Neodiprion lecontei: one gene and its partners. The main gene of each other region encodes a partner of the protein of the gene in region 4 in a complex. Links are inferred from orthologs where the notes say so. Each region holds a gene or a part of one and is shown on either strand. Other genes may lie near its edges.

What was found.
Region 1: GATOR complex protein WDR59 (region 4) and GATOR complex protein MIOS share a complex: the UniProt entries of both Drosophila melanogaster proteins name them as parts of the GATOR complex. The link is inferred for Neodiprion lecontei from reciprocal best matches to the Drosophila melanogaster genes Wdr59 and mio.
Region 2: GATOR complex protein WDR59 (region 4) and protein SEC13 homolog share a complex: the UniProt entries of both Drosophila melanogaster proteins name them as parts of the GATOR complex. The link is inferred for Neodiprion lecontei from reciprocal best matches to the Drosophila melanogaster genes Wdr59 and Sec13.
Region 3: GATOR complex protein WDR59 (region 4) and GATOR complex protein NPRL3 share a complex: the UniProt entries of both Drosophila melanogaster proteins name them as parts of the GATOR complex. The link is inferred for Neodiprion lecontei from reciprocal best matches to the Drosophila melanogaster genes Wdr59 and Nprl3.

What each region holds. Positions count from the first base shown.
Region 1 is NC_060261.1:40,160,271-40,167,535, forward strand, and holds GATOR complex protein MIOS, read left to right. Parts: upstream 1-1,988; 5' UTR 1,989-2,358; coding exon 2,359-2,479; intron 2,480-2,583; coding exon 2,584-2,781; intron 2,782-2,904; coding exon 2,905-3,195; intron 3,196-3,313; coding exon 3,314-3,541; intron 3,542-3,642; coding exon 3,643-3,804; intron 3,805-4,009; coding exon 4,010-4,191; intron 4,192-4,312; coding exon 4,313-4,446; intron 4,447-4,519; coding exon 4,520-4,633; intron 4,634-4,816; coding exon 4,817-5,183; intron 5,184-5,334; coding exon 5,335-5,473; intron 5,474-5,552; coding exon 5,553-5,691; intron 5,692-5,781; coding exon 5,782-5,989; intron 5,990-6,075; coding exon 6,076-6,284; intron 6,285-6,320; exon of another isoform or gene 6,321-6,467; coding exon 6,468-6,555; 3' UTR 6,556-6,739; downstream 6,740-7,265. Other genes in the region: ras-related protein Ral-a, read right to left, coding at 650-754; replication protein A 14 kDa subunit, read right to left, coding at 6,792-6,880, 7,052-7,238. UniProt on the Drosophila melanogaster protein: An essential component of the GATOR subcomplex GATOR2 which functions as an activator of the amino acid-sensing branch of the mTORC1 signaling pathway.
Region 2 is NC_060266.1:1,254,107-1,257,791, forward strand, and holds protein SEC13 homolog, read right to left. Parts: upstream 2,013-3,685; 5' UTR 1,859-2,012; coding exon 1,617-1,858; intron 1,526-1,616; coding exon 1,138-1,525; intron 853-1,137; coding exon 544-852; 3' UTR 501-543; downstream 1-500. Other genes in the region: ribosomal protein S6 kinase delta-1, read right to left, coding at 2,307-2,414, 2,522-2,617, 2,678-3,685. UniProt on the Drosophila melanogaster protein: Functions as a component of the nuclear pore complex (NPC) and the COPII coat. At the endoplasmic reticulum, SEC13 is involved in the biogenesis of COPII-coated vesicles.
Region 3 is NC_060263.1:27,315,861-27,322,123, reverse strand, and holds GATOR complex protein NPRL3, read left to right. Parts: upstream 1-2,011; 5' UTR 2,012-2,290; coding exon 2,291-2,452; intron 2,453-3,090; coding exon 3,091-3,362; intron 3,363-3,532; coding exon 3,533-3,628; intron 3,629-3,714; coding exon 3,715-3,933; intron 3,934-4,112; coding exon 4,113-4,287; intron 4,288-4,495; coding exon 4,496-4,654; intron 4,655-4,926; coding exon 4,927-5,103; intron 5,104-5,185; coding exon 5,186-5,560; 3' UTR 5,561-5,756; downstream 5,757-6,263. Other genes in the region: vacuolar protein sorting-associated protein 13C, read right to left, coding at 1-73, 184-324. UniProt on the Drosophila melanogaster protein: An essential component of the GATOR subcomplex GATOR1 which functions as an inhibitor of the amino acid-sensing branch of the TORC1 signaling pathway.
Region 4 is NC_060264.1:23,548,041-23,555,907, forward strand, and holds the start of GATOR complex protein WDR59, read left to right. Parts: upstream 1-1,849; 5' UTR 1,850-1,874; coding exon 1,875-2,000; intron 2,001-2,125; coding exon 2,126-2,175; intron 2,176-2,244; coding exon 2,245-2,380; intron 2,381-2,435; coding exon 2,436-2,649; intron 2,650-2,724; coding exon 2,725-2,858; intron 2,859-3,069; coding exon 3,070-3,219; intron 3,220-3,311; coding exon 3,312-3,471; intron 3,472-3,562; coding exon 3,563-3,642; intron 3,643-3,779; coding exon 3,780-3,846; intron 3,847-3,929; coding exon 3,930-4,138; intron 4,139-4,217; coding exon 4,218-4,481; intron 4,482-4,558; coding exon 4,559-4,712; intron 4,713-4,784; coding exon 4,785-4,981; intron 4,982-5,070; coding exon 5,071-5,204; intron 5,205-5,277; coding exon 5,278-5,475; intron 5,476-5,534; coding exon 5,535-5,661; intron 5,662-6,104; coding exon 6,105-6,134; intron 6,135-6,660; coding exon of another isoform or gene 6,661-6,669; exon of another isoform or gene 6,670-6,715; intron 6,716-7,216; coding exon 7,217-7,377; and 4 more. Other genes in the region: coiled-coil domain-containing protein 39, read left to right, coding at 1-27, 112-412, 502-626. UniProt on the Drosophila melanogaster protein: A component of the GATOR complex, which functions as a regulator of the amino acid-sensing branch of the mTORC1 signaling pathway.

The DNA of each region.
Region 1 (7,265 bases), on a different chromosome or scaffold from region 4:
TATATTGTGCAACAAGATAGGATCATTTGTGCTGTGAAACTATTGATTACTTGCAGTCTATAACAAAAATAGATTATGTTTCAACTTCGTTATTAGCAACTGACAATCACACAATGATTTTGAGGAAATTGGATCATAAGGTCTAAAAGAAATTTATCAACCCTTTTTTGGCCTTTCTTAACACAAAATTATGGGAAAGTGAAAGTGAAAACAAAATTTATACCCTAAAAGATCAAGTAAACAATATCCACAGCTACTTGATTGTTACTTTAAAATATTCCAAACTATTTCCCAGCCGTCAGAAAGCTGGGGTTCATTGCTGGATGGAAAGTTTTCTTATCATGATTGGTACTACTATCATGTTATTCAGAAAAGGACTGCAACGAAGTGTTTGTTACTCTATGCTGACCAACACTCTCAAAAATGTCATTTCAGATAAAGTTCCCGCCAACGTATTCATGTTTGGCATTATAAAAATCGATACAAAACAGTTTCTTTCGATTGTTAAGTTGAATAGTAACCTATTTACATTACACAGTGTTATACATTCGTTCCAAATGACTGAAATCAACTGAACCTTGTACTTCTTCAAATCTAATTAAAGTTTGAATGATAGCCTGATAAGGGGCTGAAGAAATCACCCACATACCTCGTCGTACATGAACTGTAGAGTCAGGGCGGACTTTCCAACACCTCCGCTACCTACCATTATGACCTTATGAAGGGCCTGTGTGGCGCCTGGTTTTTTAGACATTTTTGTATGTGGAATTTATATCTGAAATATTAATATCAGAATGTAAATGACTGAAATTTGCACATTTAATAATATGTAATTGTTGATTGATTACGCGCATGTAGAACAGAATTTCTCATTATCTGGAGGAAAAAACTCAATACTTTATAAGCTACATGAACTACGCCTCCATTACTATAATAGAGATCTGAAAGATATGGAAATCCTATTGTCAGCATGGGAACCATGGGAGTAAGGTGAACAAATGTTTACGTTTCTCGCATGCACTCAACACTCATTATTGTTGTTGTGTTTGATAATTTTTCTACTAATAAATAAAGACTTTACATTTATGTAAAATATGGGAATTTTCTTAATGTTGATTAATTAGGACACTGAAAATTTTCCTGTCTTCTCCTCTGAGATGTAAATGGAAATTTTACCAATTTTATCGCTGTCAATTGTGTAATATTTAACTATGAATATATGTAAAAACAATCAAACCACAACTACGATATTACGACATACTGTTAAATAATGGTCATCTATTAGAAAGTTTACAAATAATACATTGTTGATACGCGTATCTAATCGACTTTAATCTTGACGGAAAAATGAAACATTGTAATGAGGTTTAGTTGTAACAATGTGACATTGTTGTTTGAAAATAGTTACTGCATCAAATTTGTTGAAACCATTATTACGCATTTAACACCAATTAGTACAGACTTGGAAATTACTTCGATCTCACAATAAAACATCAAGATTAAGGGCGTATTCGTAGGATGAATAACCAAAAGGCGTTGCCGCGCTGTCGGGTGCTAGTTACCAGAGGAAGTCAATATTCGTGTTTCATATATGGCAATGTTTCCAATTTATGAAAGTGTACCGTTATTTTACGGATGCAGGTTTAATCGGCGAATCTCTTGGGGGTATGATTGCAAAAATAACAACAGAAAAATGATTAATTACCTTCAAAAATCGGTCAATCGCAAAGCCCGACGTATCGAACGCTCGCATCCGTGATCCGTCACGCGCTGGTTCTTTATCGAGCCGTTAAAGCGCCAACACATGGCGCTGCTGAGTGTTGAAAGTCGTCTGCTTCTGTCACTCGATCTGTCACCGACTCAGTTTCGGTGCTTTCCCAAAATTCAAAGCTATTGATTATCCCACAGAATATGCTCACAGTTAACTACTTTCAGATGTTGTGGTGAAGTAAAATATTTGATTCAAATTTTCTTCACCGCTCTTCACTAGCAGAATTATCACTTTTCGAAAACGACTTTTCGCTTGCGAAATAGTTTCGCGCACGCGCAGATCGCTATTTGGATGCGCTAATGGACAAATACGGCGCAACAAATTGCGTTGAGGCTATGTTGTCCCGAAATCGGTAGATTCACTGTGATTGTTTTTTTACGCTATTTATCGGATTGTTCAAACGTATAATGGAACCAATTTTGGACGTGCAATAGCCGCCACAATTTACTGTCGGAAAACAAATGTTCCGCCGGTGATAGAGGTTTAGTTTTTACATCATTAATTATCGGAGAAACATATTTTACTAATGTAAACAACACGACCTGGTAGTACACGGATTTTAAATTAACCTACAATATTATTTGACAATGAGTAGCGTTAAGTTAGAAGTTCAGTGGTCATCGATACACCCAAATAAATTCATTACTTGGGGCACCGAAATATGTTTATACGAAGTTACCCAAATCAAAGATAGTGTCAGGCCTTCTTGTGAGTAGAGACCCAAAGCCTATTACAAAACACGTATTGTTGTTATTTCTTGAATATCGCTTTGTTGGGTGTTTATATTTTATTAACAAAAGAATTATTTGCAGGTATTAAGATCTCTGACTCTACAGTCGCCCATTTATTGGCAACGAACACAAACCATCACTATGTTAAATGCATTGATATTTACACCCAACCTGAGCCTGACATTCTATTGGCAGTTGGGCAAGCGAATGGTAAAGTTGTACTAACTACTTTTGGCCCAACGGCATTCGACTCTCTTGGACTTACTGGCAAGGAACTTGGTAAATGAAATTCACCAATAATTGTTCTGGAAGTTGTATTCATTTTCTTCTCTTTTTAAGTTATACGGTATAATATTTTAGCTTGCTTTTTTCTTCTAATCATATCCGTGATCACTTTGCTAGCTCCGAGGCATGCAAGGCAATGCAATACGGTTGCATGGAATCCGGTAGACCCAAATTTAATAATTTGTGGCTTGGATAAGCACAGAACGGATTCTTCCGTTTTATTATGGGATGTCCTGAAAAGTCCAACTGGATCGCATCACCACAGTAACATGCAGGCAGAATCTGTCAGACCTATAGCAGAGGCTGGAGTCTCTGAAACAGCACATTCCCTCGCTTGGTTCCTTAACGAACCAAGATGTTTGGTTGTTGGAATCAATAACAAACATTTAAAGATTATTGATTTTCGAGGTAAGACATTATGGTACTGGTGGTTATTAATTAATTTATTGCCAATGAAGGATAATTGGAACTTCTGCCTTTTATTTGTGTTGATTCAAACATCTTTTTGTATTAATCATCTGTTTAGATTGTGTGAAGGTAGTGAACTCAACGCCAACAAAAGCAGTGTACAGTTTGTCAGTAGATCCTCATAACAATTATCACTTAGTTTCCCATATTGAAAATCAAATTCTTATATGGGACACTCGTTACTTTGAAAAACCGATATTAACCCTACCGCAGAGCAGACAAGTGACTAAAGTACTATGGTGTCCTTCAAGGCATAACCTGCTGGGATCTCTGCAGAAAGACTCTGGTACAGTGAGATTTATCATACTTAAATTGCTAAATGAAACAAAGTGGTTCAACTTGTTCATTAATGGTGAAATGTATTTTCATTAATCATTGACCACACAGGATCTTTGCATCTTCACGATGTACAGCATTGTGGGCTTGGTGGCGGCGAGGAAACAGAGCCAGGCGCTTTAGAAAGAACTGTCGCCCCACCATGGTCTAGTCCTACAAGTTTTTCATGGCATCCGACTCACGCGAATAGATTGTTGGCTATATCGCAACAAGGTGTGTGCAGTTGATTTTTTTTTGTTTTCGTATCTCTTACGTATTACCATGGAGTACGAGGGGACGAATTTTCCATACATGGTCGCAAATATAAGTCTATTGTACAGTTTCGTTTTCTTTCAAGCTAGGTGTAATGCTCGATTTAGAACTAATGCAGCTTATAATTATACATCATTACTATTCCTAAGTTATTTGCATATTTCAGGTTTGACGGACTACACTGTTTTTGAAAGAATTACTATCAACTGGTCAACTAAGTCATATCTAGCATGGAACCATGCTTCAAAATCATTCAAATACATTTATAGCACCGACAACATATACAAATCCTTGAACGATATTTCACTGCAAACGAAAAGTCGAGCCATGCGAGACTACGGCCTTCTGGTTAGTATAGGATGATTGTAACATGGACTTGTTAAAACTACAAATCTTCATATAGAACGATTTAAGAGAATTAATTCTGATATATTTAAAATTGTAATAATTAATTATATTTTTCACTAAGGCCGAACTATCGCAAAATGGAGAGCTAGCTGAAAATGAGACCCTGAAAAATTTATGGCAATGGCTGTATTTGAGTCGTTCTTTAGTGGAAGATGGAACAATATGTAGTCCAGACAATAAGCACCCAGGTGTCAGGTAAACTGATATTTTCTTTGGCTTATAGCCGTACTGTTAGATGCTCTGATAATTACTTTGTAACTCTCCATAGAACTGTTCTGAAACTTGATGGACAGCCGACTTCTACTAACGGTTTCATTAAGTCTGAATTAGTGCTTCGACTGTGGGCTGACATTGGGTCAAATCACAGTGCTAAAATATACAGGTAAAGAAAAACCAGGTGTCATAATTCCGAAAATATGAATTATGTGTTTGCTCGATACACTTTAAGCTTATGAAGTACAAAAACAAAAATATTCTTTATCAACGAAATGATTCATCGAACAATATCCTCTATTATGCTAACAATAAGTATCTTTGATTTGCCAAAAATAAATGTTTATCACAGGTCACCTGACCGAGATAAAGCACTTCAATTGTGTGGTTGGAGATTTGATAAAGAAACGAACGCGCCTTATAATAATGCATTTTTGGAAAGACTAGAGAGGGAAGGAGCTTATCCTAGAGCTGCAGCCATCTCTGTTTTCAATCTTGGACTGAGGCAAGCCATAGAAATATTGAATAGAGGGGCGGACAAAATGTCACTAGCAACAAATTTAAATATCGTTGCTATGGCTTTGTCAGGCTTCTCTGAAGATAGAAATAGTATGTGGCGGGAGCTTTGCTTAAAATCTAGATCTCAATTAACTGACCCATATCTCAGAGCAACATTTGCATTCCTCACTGCTGACAATGATTCGTATGAAAATGTTTTGGTGAGTAAAGTAATTTTTACGATTTATTTGTTAGATGACCGTAGAATCTTTTATGATGAATTACTGAATATTTCTCACTGCAAAAATGAAATGGATAGATGTGGAAAAGTTTCATTCGTCTGTAATAATCGTCACTAATCTATGTTTTCAGAATGAGAATGGAATGGCTGTTGAGGATAGAGTGGCATTTGCGCTCATGTTTCTATCTGATAGTAAATTACATGAATATTTCAAAAAATTGACTCAAAAATTAACTGATGACGGTAACTTAGCCGGGATTCTGATTACTGGTTAGTAATTAAACGAGTGTTGAAAATTAATTTCAAAAAACTAAATTTAAAATGCTTTGAACTGTATGTGCCACTTCAGGGGCTAGTTCAGACGGGATACAGTTACTAAATAGGTACTTAGAAATCACTGGTGATGTCCAAAGTTGCAGCCTAATCGCCATTCGAGCTCTGTCACCGAAATTGCTTCAGGACAATCAAGTTCAAGTTTGGATTGCAAGGTAGTCTATCTTGTAGTTAGTAACACGAAGAAAATACGACTTTTTGTTAGAGAATAATGAATCGCCTAACCAGAATCAACTGTTCTGCAGCTATAGAACGCTTTTGGATGCTTGGAAAATGTGGAATCAAAGAGCACATTTTGATATAGCGATGCGAACTTCAACGAATGAGAAACCTCCACAACAAGTATACATATCTTGCAATTTCTGTGGCAAAAGTATTTCGGCTTATATGCAGGGGTTAAGCAGAGCTAGAGGACCATTTGCCAGGCTTGGGAGTACGTCCAACAAATTGAAGGTAAAAGTTTAGTTCACAATTTCGGTGTTTGTGTAATCCCCGTAAATTTCTTGCAAAAACCAACGTGGCTTGTGATTTCTTTGTAGATGTCTTCGTGTCCTAGCTGTCGCAAACCTCTACCCCGCTGTGCGATCTGTCTCATGCACATGGGTACAGCCAGTGGTTTACAAACAGGAGGGACCACACCAAATAGAGGGGAGGAGGATAGTAAACTAACGGAATTTAGTAGTTGGTTTACTTGGTGTCAAACGTGCAGACATGGTGGACACGCCAACCACATCACGCACTGGTTTAGGTGAATTTTTACAATGTAAATTTAGTTGAATTGTTGTACATTGAAAAAATCAGTTTATTCATCAAAATCGGTGAGTGGCACACGTGGTTCCAATCATTTATTACATCGAACAAAATGCATGGAGTGGAATTTTAGAGAGAAAGTTTTTTTTGCATTGCTCTAAACAGACAAATTATATTTCAGAGAGCATTCGGAATGCCCTGTAACATCTTGTACGTGCAGATGCTTTTCACTAGATGCATCTTGCAAGATCGGAGTTGGGGTTGTATAATCTTTCTACCATAATTTTAAATTGTAATAAACGATTATTTAATAGTATTTCGTTCACCAATTATACTTATTTCTTTCACTTAATTATCATTTAGAACATTTCTAAGCCTTAAAGATTGAGCTTCAACTTCAGCGAAGTATACTGAAAAAAGTCAGAATATTCGAATGTGTTGAAGGTGATATACTTGACAGCGAAAAAGAAAATTTATATTAGTAGGGCGTGAGAAAGTTAAAATTTCATAAAATGGTATTCGTTTCAGACATTTTCCATTTGTTGCTACCCAATGTATTGGAGAGTAAGATGAGGTCATTGTACTGTTCCGAGTCTGAAAAAATTTCAACTTATATTCTTTTTTTCAAGTTATGAACAACTAGAGAATTTCCATTGTACTTTTTCAATGCCAAAAGATAAAATAACGTCAAGCAAAATCATATACAATAGCATAGACATACATCAGGAGTAGATTCTAAGAAATGATGTATCTGTGATAATTTACCAAATTTTTCCGTCATCTCATTTGGGAAGCGAACGAAGTTGCTACAGGAGATGGATGACTTAGACTGTACAGTACCATGAACTTCGATGTAACCTTCTAGGTGGCTGTCGATGGGTTCCGAAAGAGAAACTGTGATAATCATATTGTCACTGGTTTTTAACTCCATACTTGTTCCGCTAGGATTTATCTGAAATAAGAGATACCAAATTGTTGA
Region 2 (3,685 bases), on a different chromosome or scaffold from region 4:
TTTTTTCACAATTTTCTACAATCTCCAATCGGCAGCAGACACATATTGCCCGTTTCTTTATCTTTTTTTCCCCCCAATGTGCGACACGTCTTTGTTCGTATTGCTTTTGCTGCTCGCACCTGTGTACAAATGTTTTTTTTATTTGTGGTTGTTTTTACATTTTGAAAAACGATCGATTTCTGTCAAATTTGTAAATATCGATTGTCTGTTTACTGCAAGTTATAAATTAAATATTGGGTGTCCGCCAAAATTGCAGAGAAATCGCAAACTAATGTTCGATTTGCATCTGCGTTTTACGAGTGTAAATCAAGGATTTATTAAATTATTGGAAGAATCGATTGAAAAAAAAATTTAATAAACTTTTTAAAAAAGTTCACCGCCTATAGTACAGTTTGTAGTTATAAAGTCAAGTTTCGTTTTTTTTTTTTTTTTTTTTTCCCCTTTGCACAAAAAGCGAAAGAAAAAGAGAGGAAGAGGAAAATACGTTTTATACACAATAATAATGATAATCTGATTTTTCTCTTCAGTTCTATTATGCTAATTTCACAATGCTCGTTGTTCTGGATTGTTCAAATTTCCCTGACCCTTATTGAGCTCCGAAATGCATGCCCATTGGCCTTCGGAATTTTCACGCCACAGAGATACTTTGTTGTCACCTCCGCTCACTGCCAGAATCCCACCAGTCAGAGACCAACTGACGTTCCATATAACGTCCTCAAACACGTTCAGGACAGTCGACGTCCAACTTGTGCAATCTGTCGACGTCCACACCACCACCCTGCGATCCTGAGAACAGGAAGCCAGTGCCGCTCTCGGTGGTCCAACTGCTGGCGCCCAGGCCACATCTCTGACCTAATTTAATGTTGCAAGGAAAAGAAAATGGCTGGTGAATCCACTAATTTTATCTACAGCATCTTTGTTTTGCTAATGCTGAATAATTTCTGATATGAATTCAACTCTTTTCTATTGATCTTACATGATTTCAAATCGATCACGATTGCGAATAGGTGATTAGCCTCTGGACACAAATGTTTCACTGGGAATAGAAAAAGTAATGAAAATTCTTTTCTTGCCCTAGACAAAGGGAAGAGACCAGATGTCCAAATTTGGTGATACTTGAAACGAGTTATTACTTACCCAGTCGCTGTGAGCCTCGAGTTTATTTTCCTCGATCCATCTTTCGTTATCCTCCCTCCATATTTTGACCAAATTATCGCATCCTCCAGTCGCAAGTCGCTTAACAGGTCCACTGCGAGGGTGAGGCGCGGTAGCGTCGTATCCAGGTTCAATGGCTGGGCACCAACTGACCGCATTGCACCCGATGGTGTGTGCGTTTGGAATTTTCTGGGCATCCCAGGTGTCACCATTGTTAGAAAGTATGGAGATCGAGCCGTCAGAGCTGCCGCATGCTAATATTAGTCCGAACTCGTGCGGCGCCCATGCAACGGAGTTCACAGACGAGTCGTGGGACGCATGTTCATATATCTTGGTCCACTCACCAAGCTCCTTCCAAATTATGACTTTCCTAACGCGAGATAAGTACAGTTTAGATTTTGCTTATTTTTGCATAAGGTCGGAAAACCGTGGAGCAAAAGTATTGAGATCACCAAATTTACCTGTCGTAACTGCAAGATGCCAAGATGTTGCCGAACTTCGGATGAGCCCAGGCAACTTGCCAAACAGGACCGACGTGGCCTTTCAAATCTGCAGCGAGGGTTTGCGTGCCGTTCTTCAGATCGAATATTTTCACCGAATTGTCACTTGAGCAGGTAGCTAACCTCAATCCGTAATAGTCCATTTCGGCATCGTGTATCATGTCCTCGTGGCCCGTGTCCACCGTGTTTAGAACGGAGACCATTTTCAATTATCTCTTCGTTTACCCGCAACGAGTTATTATTTATATTGTTTCTTTCACTATTTTTTGTTGTCGCAAATTGTCCGTTGCAGCGATTGAAGAATAACCACACAACTGATCCAACTGACATACGTGGAATCTGATGAAGTGGACACGCGCTAAAAGGCACCAACATCAGGCAACGAAAAGCATCAGAGTCACCACGAAGTGCTAGGGATTTTTCGTAAAAAGACAACACGTGCCCCACGTGCCTTTCCATTTGTTATGTTATTTTATCTATCGGCGGGATGGTTCAAAATTTGAAGTAGAATACATATTATATACTTTTAATTATGTCGATTGTGATAAATATTATTTTGTTCGTTATTTTTGAACTAGTTATACACTGACTGGAGATTGACAAATACATGATATGGCGTACTGTAGAAGGAAAAAAATAGGTATATTACGACTAAGTAAAACTAGAGTTAGCCCAGGCGGTCCAATCAATACCAGAGAAGAATGAAGACTCTTTGATTTCGGGAATAGATAAACGTTCCTCTGGCTTGTATCGCAATACCTGAACAAGGAGAGTAAGACAATCATATACAAAGGAATTCATTGACTTGAATGCACTGCTTCATTTATTTTGAGAACTAATTAAGTATTTAAACTCTTCAAACTCACATTAGAGATCAATGATTTCACGTTCGCTGATAGTTCTTCAGGAATGTTGAGAATAGAATGCGAGTGATATGGTCCAGGATGTTTAGTTTGGAATTTCTGAAAACAGAAAACATAAACTCAACGAATATCAATTTAAACTATGATAATTGGACATACAATTCCAGTGAAGAGCTCGTAGAGCAGGACTCCGTAGCTCCAAACATCGGCAGCAGTGGAGGGTGGAATTGTTGGTGAGAAGATACAAAGTTCAGGGGCGGAGTAGGGCTTCTTTAGCTGCAAGAGTTCGAAGCTTCGTTTTGGGACAATGTAAGTCATCGCGACATGGCCTCCGCTGCCTAATAATATATTATCTGGTTTTAAATTTCCGACTATGACACCCTGCTGGTGCAGAGATTCCAGTGCCAGGAGTATTTCAGCTGCCCAATATCGGATGGTTCCTTCGGGAAGCTTCCAGAGTTCGTCATCCATTTCAATACCGCTGTCCTCGTTAACGATCGATTGCAATTGGCCAGAATTCATAGTTTCCTCAATCACTCTATGAGAGCCATTGAGTTTTGACGATTCTTTCACTAACTCGTCCTCAACTTTGAAGTTCTTAACAAAATTAGACTTAGAATTTGCCAAAGCTTCGTCTGATCTTTCATTTTTTGCTTTCAGATCTATATTTCCAGATCCAATACCGTGAACACCATCTATGCTGTTACCTTGACTGAGTTTATCGATTTCTGTTACATTTAGGGCCTGAAACTCCCCACCGTGAGCTAAATTTCGAGAATGATCCGGCTTATCTTCACTGTACAGTAAAGTGCCAGATTCATTCAACCTGCTGGCTATTGAATTGCTTTTCTTCAGAGTGGCGTCAACCAATCGCAGAAGTTCTTGGGCTTTAGCGAGTAAGTCCGTGGTTTGAAATGTTTTAACAGGCGCAGCATTGGCTCCAAATTTTGCCTCTAATCTTCTGAGCGATTCATCAGGATCGATCGTCTCCTCTTCTTGCGGATCGAGATTTTCTCTGCTGCCACAAGCTCTGTCTTTCGAAACCTCAGCAAGTCCGTCAATTTTCGGTAACAGTCTTTCCTTAACTCCTAGCTTCTTCTTTTCCAGACTCGACTGAATAATAGCGTCGCAACTCACTGACCTTGTATGCCCTTTCTCTCTCCAATT
Region 3 (6,263 bases), on a different chromosome or scaffold from region 4:
CAGTCCAAGGTATCTTCAGACTAATTTTTCCAATTAATCCGATTTTTATTTTTATTGGAAGCCCAAGTTGATACTAAAATTAAAAATTTGCGAGTCTTTAACGAAGTAATAGCTAAACAGATATGTTTGTTAAAATATTCACAAGAATATTTTATTGAAGTATAAATATCTGTCTCTACGTACAAGGGCTTCTGTTTTCAGCTTCAAATCTGTAAGGTATGCATCACCAGAAAATATGCCTACATTGAAATTTTCGGTATCTAGATCTTCGACATAATTTCCTAGAAAACGGTTCAGAAGTGCTGCAACTGCTCCTTCAAACATGTTGAAAATTCGTTTCAATATATGGTCCCGTTAATCTAAAATAGAAATCGTTTTCTACTTTGAATCTGTAAACTCTAGGGCTCTAGAATACCTTAGCAAAATGCATGTACGATATCAAACTTGAATGCTTTACCATTTCAACACTTTTACTATCCACCATAATGTGTTATAGGTTTATGAACACTTTGCAAATCATTACCAACATTCATGTTTATGTTCAGAATGTTTAAAAATAAAGTCACTCTTTAAGTAACCTACTTTTATTACAGCAAAGGTCATTTCTTAAAGATGGTATTTTGAAACTGAATTTAATGTTGATAATGCATGAACAATTGGGACAATTATTCTGAAATCTATTATACAAAGTTTTCTTCTCTCACATTCCAATGCCGGTCATAGATTTCTAACAATCGTCTTGCACATTTCCAAGAATTGAGTCAACTTATTAAATTGGTAAGCAGGCATAGAAGTAATGAATATTTTTAGATTTTTCATAATGGTTCTTGCAAATAACGATGTTGAACGAACTGTAAGGCGTAATAGAGTTATTAATATATTGAGCAGTGTCGTGTAACATATAAAATGAAAAAGTCTGATACGAAATATTGATCTACTTTTATTTTAGTTATAATGTCGTGCAAAAATTCATGTGACTTCGTTTTTCCATCTTGTACCATACTTTTAGTTGTTTTTTGAAACACAATTAGGAACCGAATAATTTCAACAACTTATAAATATTAAAAACAAAAAACGAACACTTTTAATTGGTATAATAACAATAAAAATATTAGATCTATTGATTTGAAAATGAATGATAACATTACTTTATTGTAATTTACTGTAATCATCGGTATAGGGTGGATTTTTGCGAAGGTATAAAATTTTGCAATTTTCGTTCTGCGTCGTCAGTTACTAAGAATACTTAATCATGAATATCTTAGAAGAATTGAAAGTTTATGACACCAGCTTCTAAACATAGTATGCTATACTAATTGTTGGATAATATGTCTAAAACATGATACAAGATAGATAGTGATGAGTTGACATAGAAGTCTTGAATTACAGAATGATGGTTTCTCATTTACAATTATTATTCAAATGTTGAAGAAGAGGATTGATAAAGTATTGAATGTAAGATGAGTAATCGCAGTGTCAGCATATCAGATTCGCATATGTATTATTCAAACTTACGAATTATCTGAATTCTTCTCCAGTTAATATTCGCAAAGTGTTAGCAGAAACAGAAAGCATCTGATACCTTGCTTCAGTAAGCTGTCAAATGCTGTCAAAGCAGACCGTTTCATTGGTTGATACGATTTGCGAATCGAATTGCGGATATAATTATTTGATTTCATTTTCTAAGTTCTGAACGACCGAACGCAGGCCACTGTGCATTTATCCAATTGCCCGATGCAGTAATTTTCACCTACCTGCGTGAATTAAACTAGAAATAAAGTAATTCTTCCCAGCCCCAGGCCATAACCTAACAAATTTCACACCTCGTCCAGGATGGTTTGAAAGATGTAAAGCGCAGCGGACCTCGGGAATTGTTACTTGAAGTATTGATTTTATTTTCATCCTTGTCTGCGATATAGAAAGTGCGTCGTTAAACAGCGCGTGGAAGGCATGACAGCTCGTTGTATTAGAGTTAAAGTTAGGTTAGGGTTAGGGTTATGTTAGGTAAGTATTATTGGGTTGGTAACAGTCTCTCGTCAATCCGAGGTTTGACATAATGACAGAAAATTTGGATCGTTAGTTTTTATTTGTCGAATTCAAATTCAAGAAACCTTGCAAGTGGTCTATACGCGTTTTTGCCATGTAACCCGATTCCTGATTTAAGTTATGATTTTAAGATAATACCAAGAGTCTGTAACCAATCTCTCATAACTTCTCTGGCATCTCGGAGCATTGGTTAGTTGGATTGAGCTTTTTGAGTTCACTCATAAGCTCATCGAGAAACAAGGAAATGGAGATTAATCCATTAAGCGTTATTCTAGTGAAGAGTGACAGTAAGGGCGATCGAATGTTATTCAGATATCCTCACGCCGCTAATCTTGAGAGAGATTCCAAACAGTTTACAAAGAGGAAGAATCCTTATGCGTTAACAATCAGTGAGGATTTATTACAAGTATATTCCTCATATTTATTCTTTAATATTACTGCACTGGAAAATCCCAAACTATCGCAAACAAGTCTTATACCAATATCATCTTTGATAAGACCACGACTCTGTTGCTTTATTTTCATGTAAATTATAATCAATTTTCATACAGTATGTTTCATACGATATGTCTACAATGTAAGAGGAGTTATACAAAACTATAAAGATTTTATTTGGTCATTGTCCCTTATTTACCTCCTATTAATTCAAGTATTACTATATTTTTATTTCTATCTTTTTTTTCTCACTTTTCTTACTTTTTGATGAAAATTCTTCCATACTGTACTCTTGTTTAAACACCAATGCCCCTTCTTTACTGTATTAAGCAGTGCTTACTCAAATGTATGTTCGCATGCTCTTTAATTGCCTTGATTTTTACCTTAACTTTACCATTTTTATTTGTTGAGTGAGCAAGTGGAATTCTTATTTCGTTTCACATTACTTTGATCGCATTACATATGATGTTGCAAAAATATTTAACAATTGATCAATTTTTTATGAAGCTGTAAATTTGGTAGGAGTAATTAACAAAATGACCGTAATCAATGTGGAGTATAATTATTATCTGGCGCATGTTTATTTTTCATTATTTAAATAATTTTCAGTCGACACCATTTCCAACATCCAATATAAGCAATGGCAATCTTACTGGCTTATCTGACGAAGTTTTGTCCACCCTCTTTGCTGTTAAACCCGAGCTTTGTGAATTAAAGTTCGAACTAAAAGTCAACAATGTACGCTTTGTTGGACACCCTACATTGCTTCCTTCTAGGGGACTAAAAGATGTCAATTCATCCATGCTCTTCAACATAGTATTCGCTTTGCAGGCTCAAGCGAATCACTCTGTTGTTAAGTGTTATTACGATCTCAGTAAAAGGTAACTTTGAGGATAAATTATTTGTATCTTCAAACATCTACTGAAACCTACAATTACCTTAGTGACTTATCAATTCGATTTTGAACATGATTCATCACCAGTAGTTAATAGCTTATATATTTCTTTTATTTTAAAAAACCATCATATTTTTTGGATGTTCCATTATACAGACTGGGAATAGCTTTGAGACATGAGGAAAAGAGATGCGGATTTCTTACTGACGAAATAAAAGTGATGGTTTCCACTCATGACGAAGTAGCTGCTCGGTAATTTTCTACTTCCACTTTTTATAAATTGTCATACTCTTAGATGTAATTTGTACACGGATGTTATAATTGAATATACGATCCAGATCAGAAGAGGAAAGTGAATCTGATGAATCCCCTTATGAACTTATATTGCAAAGAAGTTCTCTTGCTCGAGATTTGAAGTCCGTTTTCAATAGCCTGAGTACATCAGGGGTAATAAATATCATGGTTAATAAATGGATACAAGTTAGCTTTTGTCTACCTCAAAAAGTTCATCAATCTCACAAAAAAGGATTCATTATGAACCCAGAAATAATTGACAGGTAATTCATTATGATCATCATCATTTAATTCTCTGCAAATAATTTGTAAATAATTTTCAGCAATGAATGATTGTGAATTATTATCATATTACGATAAATTATGATAACTAAATTCTGTGACATCGCAGTACTACTAATAATCAAATCATTCGCGTTTTAAATGAAATTATTTACTTCAGATGCCTCGAAAGTTTACGACCGTATCATGGCTTACTACTTTTGATAGAGCCTTTAGATTTGTTAGATTCGCTTCCTGCTGACTCGGCTCCAGCGCTAGTACGTCTTATACAAATGTACAGCCCACTCAAAAGTCTTCAAACATTAGCTGCAGATTCAGATCTCAGCTTGGCACAGGTGAGCCATAATGATAATTTTGATTGAAAATACTTCTGCCTTTTTTCAAAAATATTTCTCAATAATACTGTATCAATTACTGAAACAATTGAATGAATATTGAGGATTAGGTGCATATTCAATGGGATTTCTTTTTCACTACATTCAGGGTTTGATAATGTTTACATAGTAGTTTTTTTAATTACTAACAAGTATCACCTTTGCCAAGGTATTCCAACTGACTGGACATTTAGTGTATTGGGCAAAGGCTACTATTATCTATCCCTTGTGTGAAAGCAACGTATATGTCGTAGCTCCAGATGCTGTCCTCACAGCTCAATTATTGGATGCATTTTCAGAACAATTTCCAGGATTGTGTCTACTACAGGTATTGTCACAGAATACATTACAAACATGTAATGGTAATGCAAAAAAAAAGTATTTACGGTAGAGGATTCCGAAGTTTCTAAAAATCTTATTGAGATATCCTTTCGCATCTCCATTATTAAGACGAGTTAGATTTAACGAAAAGAAACAGATTCTGCATGTAAGCGATAAAACATTGACCTTTGCTTCTTAAACTAGCTTTTGGACACGTATAATTTTCTGTTATTTACTCTGTCATACATAACAAACTTGAATATTTCTGTTTGTTCATAGGTGATCAGTGATTTTTCTTTACCGACATCCATTAGTCAAAAATTGAACCCTCTGAGCCAACCACAACAACAGACTCAATTAGTGAAAATAATAATTTGGTTATTGAGAAATCATTTGTTACTTCAGCTGCATACTTACATTCAATATATGCCAACGCTGCATGGTTGCCAAAAAGTGGTAATATATGAACTTTGAAAAAGTGATAAACACCTGAATCACTTGCGAAATAAAGAGATGAGTATTCGATTCTATCTTGCAGACAAGCATAACAGAAGATGATTCTGGGCCAAACGAGTCTATGAAAAATCAACACAGCTGGGAAGGCACTGACGCATCTGCCGGTACACCAGGAGAAAGCGATACCGGGGCTTCTCCTGCCTTACGTGGGACAAGTGGAATTTTTGAGTATCAATCAGATGGTTTCTCAATTCCTTCGGAGGATATGATTTTACTAGATAAATTATGTAGACTTGGGTATCTAAAAGGCGGTCATCATCTCGAGGAAATTATGTATCTTGAAAATATTCGAAGATCGCAATTGTTACAAATATTGGACAAATTCAGAGACGTTCTCATAACTTGTGAAACAGAGGATCCTGCAATTGCACTTTTCTATTCTCATTTCGATTGCTAATCAAATTTTGGTCATTGTTAATCGAGATGAAAAATGCGGAGGTTTATTATACCTTGCAGAGACTGGCTGGTAATGTTGTATCTTCCGTAAAAAAATTCATATTTATTTTGACACATTTATGCCGTATGCGTTTTACCTTCAGTTTGAACAGGTACAATGCTAAGAGTGTTTTAATATAAGTGCTACTTTCAAATTATACGTGTTAATTACTATTTAAAATACCTCACGATTTAACGCACGACATAAAGTTACTTTATTATTAACTTTGAAGTTCAGTTCCATCTCATATCATATCTCATTTTACGTCAAACGCTTTAGACTTCAAGTAACGTAAACGGAAGATAACGATATCAAAATAACGGTAGGAATTTAGTTGTAACAATGCACCACTGACCGAATAATTGAGCACGAATGTTCAATTCCAACGTGCCAAATGCTTTCACTGCTAAATCGAAGTAGCAGTTCTTACAGTCACATTTTTTTTTTTTTTTTTTCTATCTTCACTGAGAATCAATCCAAATGGCGAAATTTTATAAAGATAATTACAATATTAATATGGACAGTGCGCAGGTTTTGAGGAATGTTTCGCGCCAGAATTCATAATCTTGTGCCGCTGATCTGCAGTAGTGACGTCATTTACCCAAAGATATGCCGGGTCTCATTGCCTGCCACGCGCACAACTCCCGCAGGTAAGATAACCTGT
Region 4 (7,867 bases):
GATGACAGTTTGATCCTGATGCAGGAGGTAAGAATTGACTGATGATTTGTTTCAAAGGTATAGACAGCTGCCGCATAAACCTGACGATGCAATATTTTGAAAATTTCACAGAAGGATATTGCAATTCGTGAACTTGAAGAGCAGAACGGTCTTGCCCTGCAACACATCACTGAGCTCACGGTTCGTCATGCCGAGGCTGAGCCCTATATAAAGAAATTACTGTCGGACAAAAATATGGTACTGCCCTGTACCAACTATCTCAAGCCATCACCAACATCTAGTCGATGCCACAGCAGCACCAGTTCCATATCGACTAAAATGGCAACGAGGAAGAGCGAAAATGTGTTTTCAACATTGTGTCCATCGACAGAGAGTTTGGGATCCATTGTCAATATACAGGCAAACTTTGAGGGTTTGTTTTCACGTTTCGTTCTCATCTAATTCGCCTGTTTCAGTACAATTCGTTGCTTTCTTAGTAGTTTAAGAATATTTGAATTACAGATACAAGTTTACATGGAAAAGCTAAGAGGTGCACAGACCCTAGTACACGGCCTAAGAAACCAATCTCTCAGTGTAGCACTCAGTCCTCGTCGAGTGATAAATCCGGTCTAGCTAAAAAAAAATGAACAAACGTTCATTTTTATATAATCAAAGATAAAAATTATCGATATATACACCGTGGAACTACAAACTTCTTAAATGTATTCTTAAATTGAAAATAAATAAATAAATATACTTCAGCATTTAACAATATATTGGTGCATCGCTTTTATCCTCCTCCTCCATGAAACTGGGTCTAGTATAGATACTTGAGACTTTCACCATTGAGTTTTATTCATAGCTGGTAGCTCCATTGTGCTTTATGATTTTGATATTGGATAAGAATCGATCTTTCTTGACTTTTTTTGTCTCGTGGAACAGGGTCGAGATGAAAAAATCACAATGATATTGGAAAGAATTAAGTATCGGAAGGTTTGCAAGATGCTGCCGCGATTGTTAACGCGCATGATTTTAGTGGAAATAAGATTTCACGTTACTGTTGATAGCAGTTGGCTCCCACGACGTCCGTGATTTGCTCCGGTGTGTCCACTCTCAATCACTAAAAATGCACGTTGTCAGTTAGAATTTCAAACTTACTCGAAACCGCAAACACAGCAAGGATTACTTATATCGCGCGTACAAACTTGACTCACTCTTTATTATTCCAACCTTTTGGTTAACCATCTCAGACACTCGGGGAATTATGAACTCAATGTTTGTCACTGCTGGCTGATATTTACACACCATTATAGACGTATTATTACGTACACGGAACATTTACCATTAGCAAATCTTTCCGAACTCGGGGAAATGGAATCCGCGATACCTGCACAGCCACATCTGACAGTTAACCTGATATTCATTCGCACGTTTGAATAAAGGTTTATGTAGGTATATTCTGATCAATGCTAAGCCCGCTGTTCGTTCCAAAAGCTCACGAAATTTATTCGAAACAGCGCTGCGTTGAAGCCGTCACGGATAGTCGCCATTTGAAATTCTGCCGGCAACTGTTTTTTCGATTTTGAATTCATCGAATAGCGATGCATGTTGCCAACCCTACGGATGTTGAATGATGACCGCGAGTTCTTGAAGTCTGAAATATGTAATTCTAAAATGTTCAAAACCAAAATAATTAAATTGGGAAGTGTACGTTATGATTATTTAAAAAAGAACGAAATGTAATTATATTTGTTTTTTGCTTTGATTGTAACGTAAAATGACACCCGCAAACTGTACCAATCCAATACCAATCGAGCCTAATTCATCCTATTACACAGGGATTCTGTCATGCCGATCAGATAGTGCTGCACTCTGTCACAAGTTTAAATATTTACATGCGTACACAACGATTCATTATAACCTCAAATTTCATCAAACGATGTCGAGGTCCCCTGTCATTTCTGAAAATGTCAAAACGTTGGGGTAGCGATTATGTGGTCGCCGAGCACCGGGATTTGCAGGTAAGCCAAGCGACTCGCGTCGCCCCCACTAAAAAACTAACTCAAACTAACCACGGTTGCTCAAGATCTTTGTAATCGAGCTTCGCCCCAAACCTCAAATAATTAGCTTTCTCCACATGCACCAGGCCAATACTATGGCGGTTGACACAACCGGGAGCTTCGTTCTTCTGGCCGGGTGAGTTTCAATGCTTTCGACCAGATTCCTATAAAGCCTCTCAAATATACCGATTCATTGGCTCTGCAGGCGAAGATGCTTTGCCGTCAAGCACCTGGACGAAGGCACGGACACCCTGCGAAAATTCCAACGTCAGAGCAAGTACGAAGTTGGCTCTGCCGAATGGAATCCCAACTCTCAGAATTGTCACCTTTGCGCTATATCCGTAAGTAGAAAAAGCATCGATAAATAAGGAGAGGCTCATTGTTTTCTTTCTACAGAGTAACAACAGAGTCGAAATACTCAATTTTGTTGGTGGAGATGGACGTGATCTCACAACGACGCATAGCCTCAGAGCACATACGCGTGTTGTTAGTGACTTGAACTGGCATCCCACTGAGCCTGACATTCTCGCCTCGTGCAGCATAGACACATTCATACACATTTGGGACATTAGAGATCAGCGTAGGCCCTGCTTGTCGCTATCTGCTGTTGGTAAAAGTCCCAATTTTGTTTTTATGTTTCAACAATTGTTACATAATAGTTGTTTGATGAAAAATCTCATTTTAGCCGGAGCATCTCAGGTCAGATGGAACTGTCTGTCCCCACACATTGTGGCCACTGCGCATGATGGCGACATCAAAATATGGGACCAGAGGAAAGGGAATAGTCCGATGCAGTACATAGCTGCTCATTTAACTAAGGTATTAGTTTGGTTTTCTTTCCCAATTATTTTTGTGTGAATGCTTATAAACCGAGGACATTGAACAGGGGAAACTGTAACTTGTGTGGTGCTTGGTTTAAAATGTATAGCACGAACGTCCGAATGTTGTGAATTTTCACAATCGTTTGAACAATCTTCGTATTATTTACTGACTTGGTACATTTGGGATAAGTGGCCTCTTGTCTTTCAAGATACATGGCCTGGACTGGTGTCCTTTTCAACAAAATCAATTGGCGACTTCTAGTCAGGACTGTACAGTGAAAATATTTGATGTCAGTAATCCACGAAGAGCAGAAAGCATTTTGACGACAAGTGCACCTGTGTGGAGAGCCAGATACACGGTAAAATTTAATCATCTGTATTGCTAACTGTATCAAATAATTGCAAGAAAGTCGTGAAAGATTTTCAAAATCTCATTTACGTCTGCTTGTAGCCATTTGGGGAAGGTCTGGTTACAATAGTTGTGCCACAGCTCAGGCGAGGGGAAAATAGTCTGCTACTGTGGAACACCTCGAATCTTACAGCTCCAATTTACACGTTTATAGGGCACACTGACGTTGTGCTAGAGTTTCAGTGGAGGCATCAGAAAAAAGGTATTCCAAGAGGGGTTTTTGCAGTAAAATATTTGATTGCGCCGTATTAAATGATGTCAAAGGGCAACAATAACTTATTTTCCTATCGCAGCACCGAATGACTTTGAATTGATAACTTGGTCCAAAGATCAATGCCTGAGAATATTCAAAATCGATCCATTTCTACAAAAGGTAATCACTATAATCATCATATAATTCAGTTCATAACTCTGTATTGAGAATTCACAAAATCTAAGACTCATGAAACGACGATGTTGCTACTAAAAATTACTTATAACACAAATAAAATCAATCCTTGCACGTTTTAGCTATGCGGACACGATTTGGATGATGGAACATCTGTCTATACTCCGTACACAGAAGACAATAACCTGAGTGAGTGTATCGCAAGCTTCAAGTACGAAATTATGAGGAGAATCGCTATTGTATTTGCAATGACTGGCTAATAAAATTCTCAGGGACGTTACGTTCTATGCAACAGCTCGAGCTTCAAGATACACCGACCGACAGAGAAATGAATTTTGTCATGTCAAAAATTGACGGAGGTAAAATGGGCATAGAGTCGCTCACTTACTCAACAAGCGACAAAGATGTTTTATCGCCGACTCAGCCAAAAACGTTACAGCAAGAATTTTCATTGATCAATGTGAACATTCCAAACATTGAGGTAAATTTACTCGTGATTTTTGCATCGTTTCGATTATTTCCAGACTCACTTGTAATGTATTCTGTGTTTCGCATCTCAGGTGAACGCTATGGATGCAGAGCAACGAAGCTGTACGGTCACAGCGTCAAATAAAAATTACAATGTTATATTGAAAGTAAACTTTCCTGGTAATTACCCATACAATGCGTCACCGACCTTTCAATTCTGTCCTGGAACAACCATAGACAATACAGCGATGGCAAAGCTCTCGAAGGTACTGAAGCAGACCGCTCAACAACGAGTTAGGAAGAATCGATCCTGCTTAGAGCCCTGTTTAAGACAGCTGATCACAACTTTGGAACAGGTATTTCCTTTTGATTTGGTTGTCGAGTTCTCGATTTTTATCATTTGAAGATGATCAATTTCATTCTGCCTAAACAGATGTGCGTCAGCGACGAGACTGAGGGTAAACATCTGGGATACAGGATGCCACATAGTGCTAACTTTCTCAATACGACCGGTGCCATATTTCCAAACTACCAGGATACCTACATTCCTTTTCCGCGGACTTCAGGTGCTAAATTTTGCTGCGTAGGTAAGGAGTTCTCAAGCCAGGGTAAAAACAAGGGGTTAAACCCGTATTTTAATCTACACCAATCTTTTCTAGGAATACTAGTTTGTTTTGGCCGAACGCCGTACGCCAGAAGGCCGTCCATAAAGCCGGAAAGCGTAACGCCGCGAGCTCTCTCGGCGTTAGGATCGGGAGTCGGTAGCAGTAGTCATTTTCCCCACGTATATCCGGCTTATTCACAACCGAATGCAGCTGACAACATATCTATAAGCTCATTCTACTTTCACGAACGGGTAAACTTGTCATCATTTGTATATACTTACATAAAAACTTTGCCAGTAACTTGGAACTGTTTCTCTCGTGACGTCTCATCTGCAAATAGAGAGGGTCCAGACGTAGTTTGCACCCATCGACCAGGCTCCACTCGAAAACACCTAATAAAAATCATCCGATGGTTACAATCTATGACGCCTCCCCATTGTTCTTTGTTAACAAAGAACTCGCTGAAAAGTACATGTGAGTTTTTTATCATTTGTATTGAGTATTTGAATCACGAAACAATAAGAATAAAGCAACACCCCCACTGTAGCATCAATATTACAGACATTCCTGGAATGTGTCAGTATAATGCCGGAGTGGCAGCTTTGCTTGAAAGACCGGACCTTGTTCAAGCTTGGTGCCTAGCCGCACTCGTCATATCGCAGCCGATGCCCTCCAACCTCTCCTCAAACGATATCGAGACTCCGTGGCCCTTGCATCCATTTGGTCAAAACTTGATCCATTCTCTGTGAGTTCAGGATTCAAGATTAGGCAGACCCTTGATGATCAACTTTATTCGCTTTTCAGTATACAGCATTACGCCAGCCAGTCTGATATACAAATGGCAGGCATGCTGAGCTGCACATTTACTTATCGTTCTGAAAATCAAGATGTTGGGCAGGGACGTGCAGTGAGCAAGTCTGTAAACGTCAGTGTAAGTAAGACACAATATTGTTTTAAGTGCCAAGTAGACTATACAACGACTTGTGATGAAAAATTCAATTGGCAGGTAACTACTGTGTAAATTATCATCGTCGCCATTATAATTATTACGGTTGTTTTTATTATTATTATTGTCATTGCTATTTTTATGATGCATGCTTTGTGCATTGCTAACAAAGAAAATGGCTATCAAAATCTATAAATGAAGATTTTGTATTTTCACTTAGACAGGCATTCTCTGTCGTTTTCTTTTCTTTAATTTTGATTTGATCTGCCCTACCAGATTGCCAATGCCGCTACTATTGCTGCTCCCCTTGCTGCTGTTTGCGGTGCTTTCTTGATTCCTCTGTCCCTTTGCTTTTGCGTAGTGTATAACAATTTGTCTGCCGAGCATGCATTGCTTATCCAACTGACATTTTATTATCTCTGTTGTAGAGGCTTTCCACTGGGAAATGGTGGCAGAAGGTAAAGTATAAATATTATTCTTTAGCGTATCTATAGATTTGTATCAACGACAGCTTTTGGTTTGCAAATTACTCTTCTTTGGTTCTCGGAAATAAAAATTCATATCTTCCGCTTCGGTTATCACACCAGGGCTTACAGTATGTTGTGACTGATTAAAGTTTTCACCTGTGTGTGTGCGTGCGCGTGTGTTTTAGCAAATATTAAGCTAATGCAAAGAATCTATGCCTTGCCGAATTCGTCGACTTAGAGCTTCGATTAAACTAAGTTTTCTGCTTTTATTTGGGTACGTAGATACATTCTAGATGTAGTTTCCATTTCTCTCGGCAAATATCCCAAAAAAATTTCATGACAATTATATATCGACGGTGAAACATGATGTAACAAGAAGCGTTACCGTGACATAACTTGTAACTCATGTGTAACAAGTTATGCCCCACTCAAAGGTTTGTAGCTCTGATATGACATTTACGTAACATGTGGCACGCATTACGTAATAGCAATAATGTTTTATTCCTAATATTGCAAGGTATACTGATGTAACATTGATGATTGACTGCTACATCGCTGCTACCAGCCTCAATGTATGTATGCATGTACATTGGCGCTACATAACATGGTAATAGCCACTAAGGCACCCCCCACCTAGCAAGCATAGTTACTTTGAAGCAGTGTAACGGCAATGGGACGGGTTGTTACACTATGATAATTCGGTATTTTGATGCATATGTACGTCAGAGTTTGGTAGCGCATATTCGATAGGCTTGTAGAGTACTATAGGTTGCTGAAAAAAAAGGGCCTATGATGTTTTTGAAATTCCGCCAAAATAAAGGTACAGACATGCATACATGCATTTCGTTAAAATATGATACATGAGTTTGCATGCACCAAAGAATAATTAATACACCAATTGATAATATTTCATAGAGCTTGAAGCTTGCCAATAATTTGTTGCGTGTTCGCAGCTGTGGCACTCGTTAATTTTCTCTTACCCTTCGCTGTAATAAATGAATAAGTATTATACCTGTGTGTATAATAAATCTTCTACTCGTCATTCAATTAACGCTCAAACATGACAATTTTAGCCTGGCGGTTCACCGTATCACACAATACATCCTGCAGATACGACGCTTGAGGGATGGAATTTCCAAAATCTCAAACAACATAGGTCAAACTCATGGTCTGAATCTCTCGACGACCTTAAATTCGTTCAAGAAACATTGGGTGATCCCGTCCGAAACATTAGGTGACAATTTTCAATTATTAAAGAAGTAATGTCTTGTAGAGAAAGAAAACAATCGAAATTTCTCCCACTTTGGGACAAGGGTGAAACATCGTCATTCGAAAGCTAGCACGTACTTCTCTCTTTCAGGTTTCTTGATGAAAAAAACACCACCCTCTACGATAGCTATAAAAAAGCATATGCTGAAGTCCTGCATAGTTGGAGGCTCCTTGATGCCAGGGCACAGGTACTAAAACACGTCAGTGTACCACCGATCGATTCCCACAAGGCTGTAGAGTTTCAAATTGAATGTTATATCTGCAATAAATCTAGTCGTGGTCCACAGTGCAACAATTGCAGGCAGTTGGCATTTCAATGTGCCATATGTCACATATCCGTTAGAGGTACAGAATTAATTGTACAGCTTTCAGTTGTGACATTCACTCTGATATTCTATGAAAAAATCACCTAAACACAGTACTCATTGATATTTCAGGACCCAGCAACGTGTGTG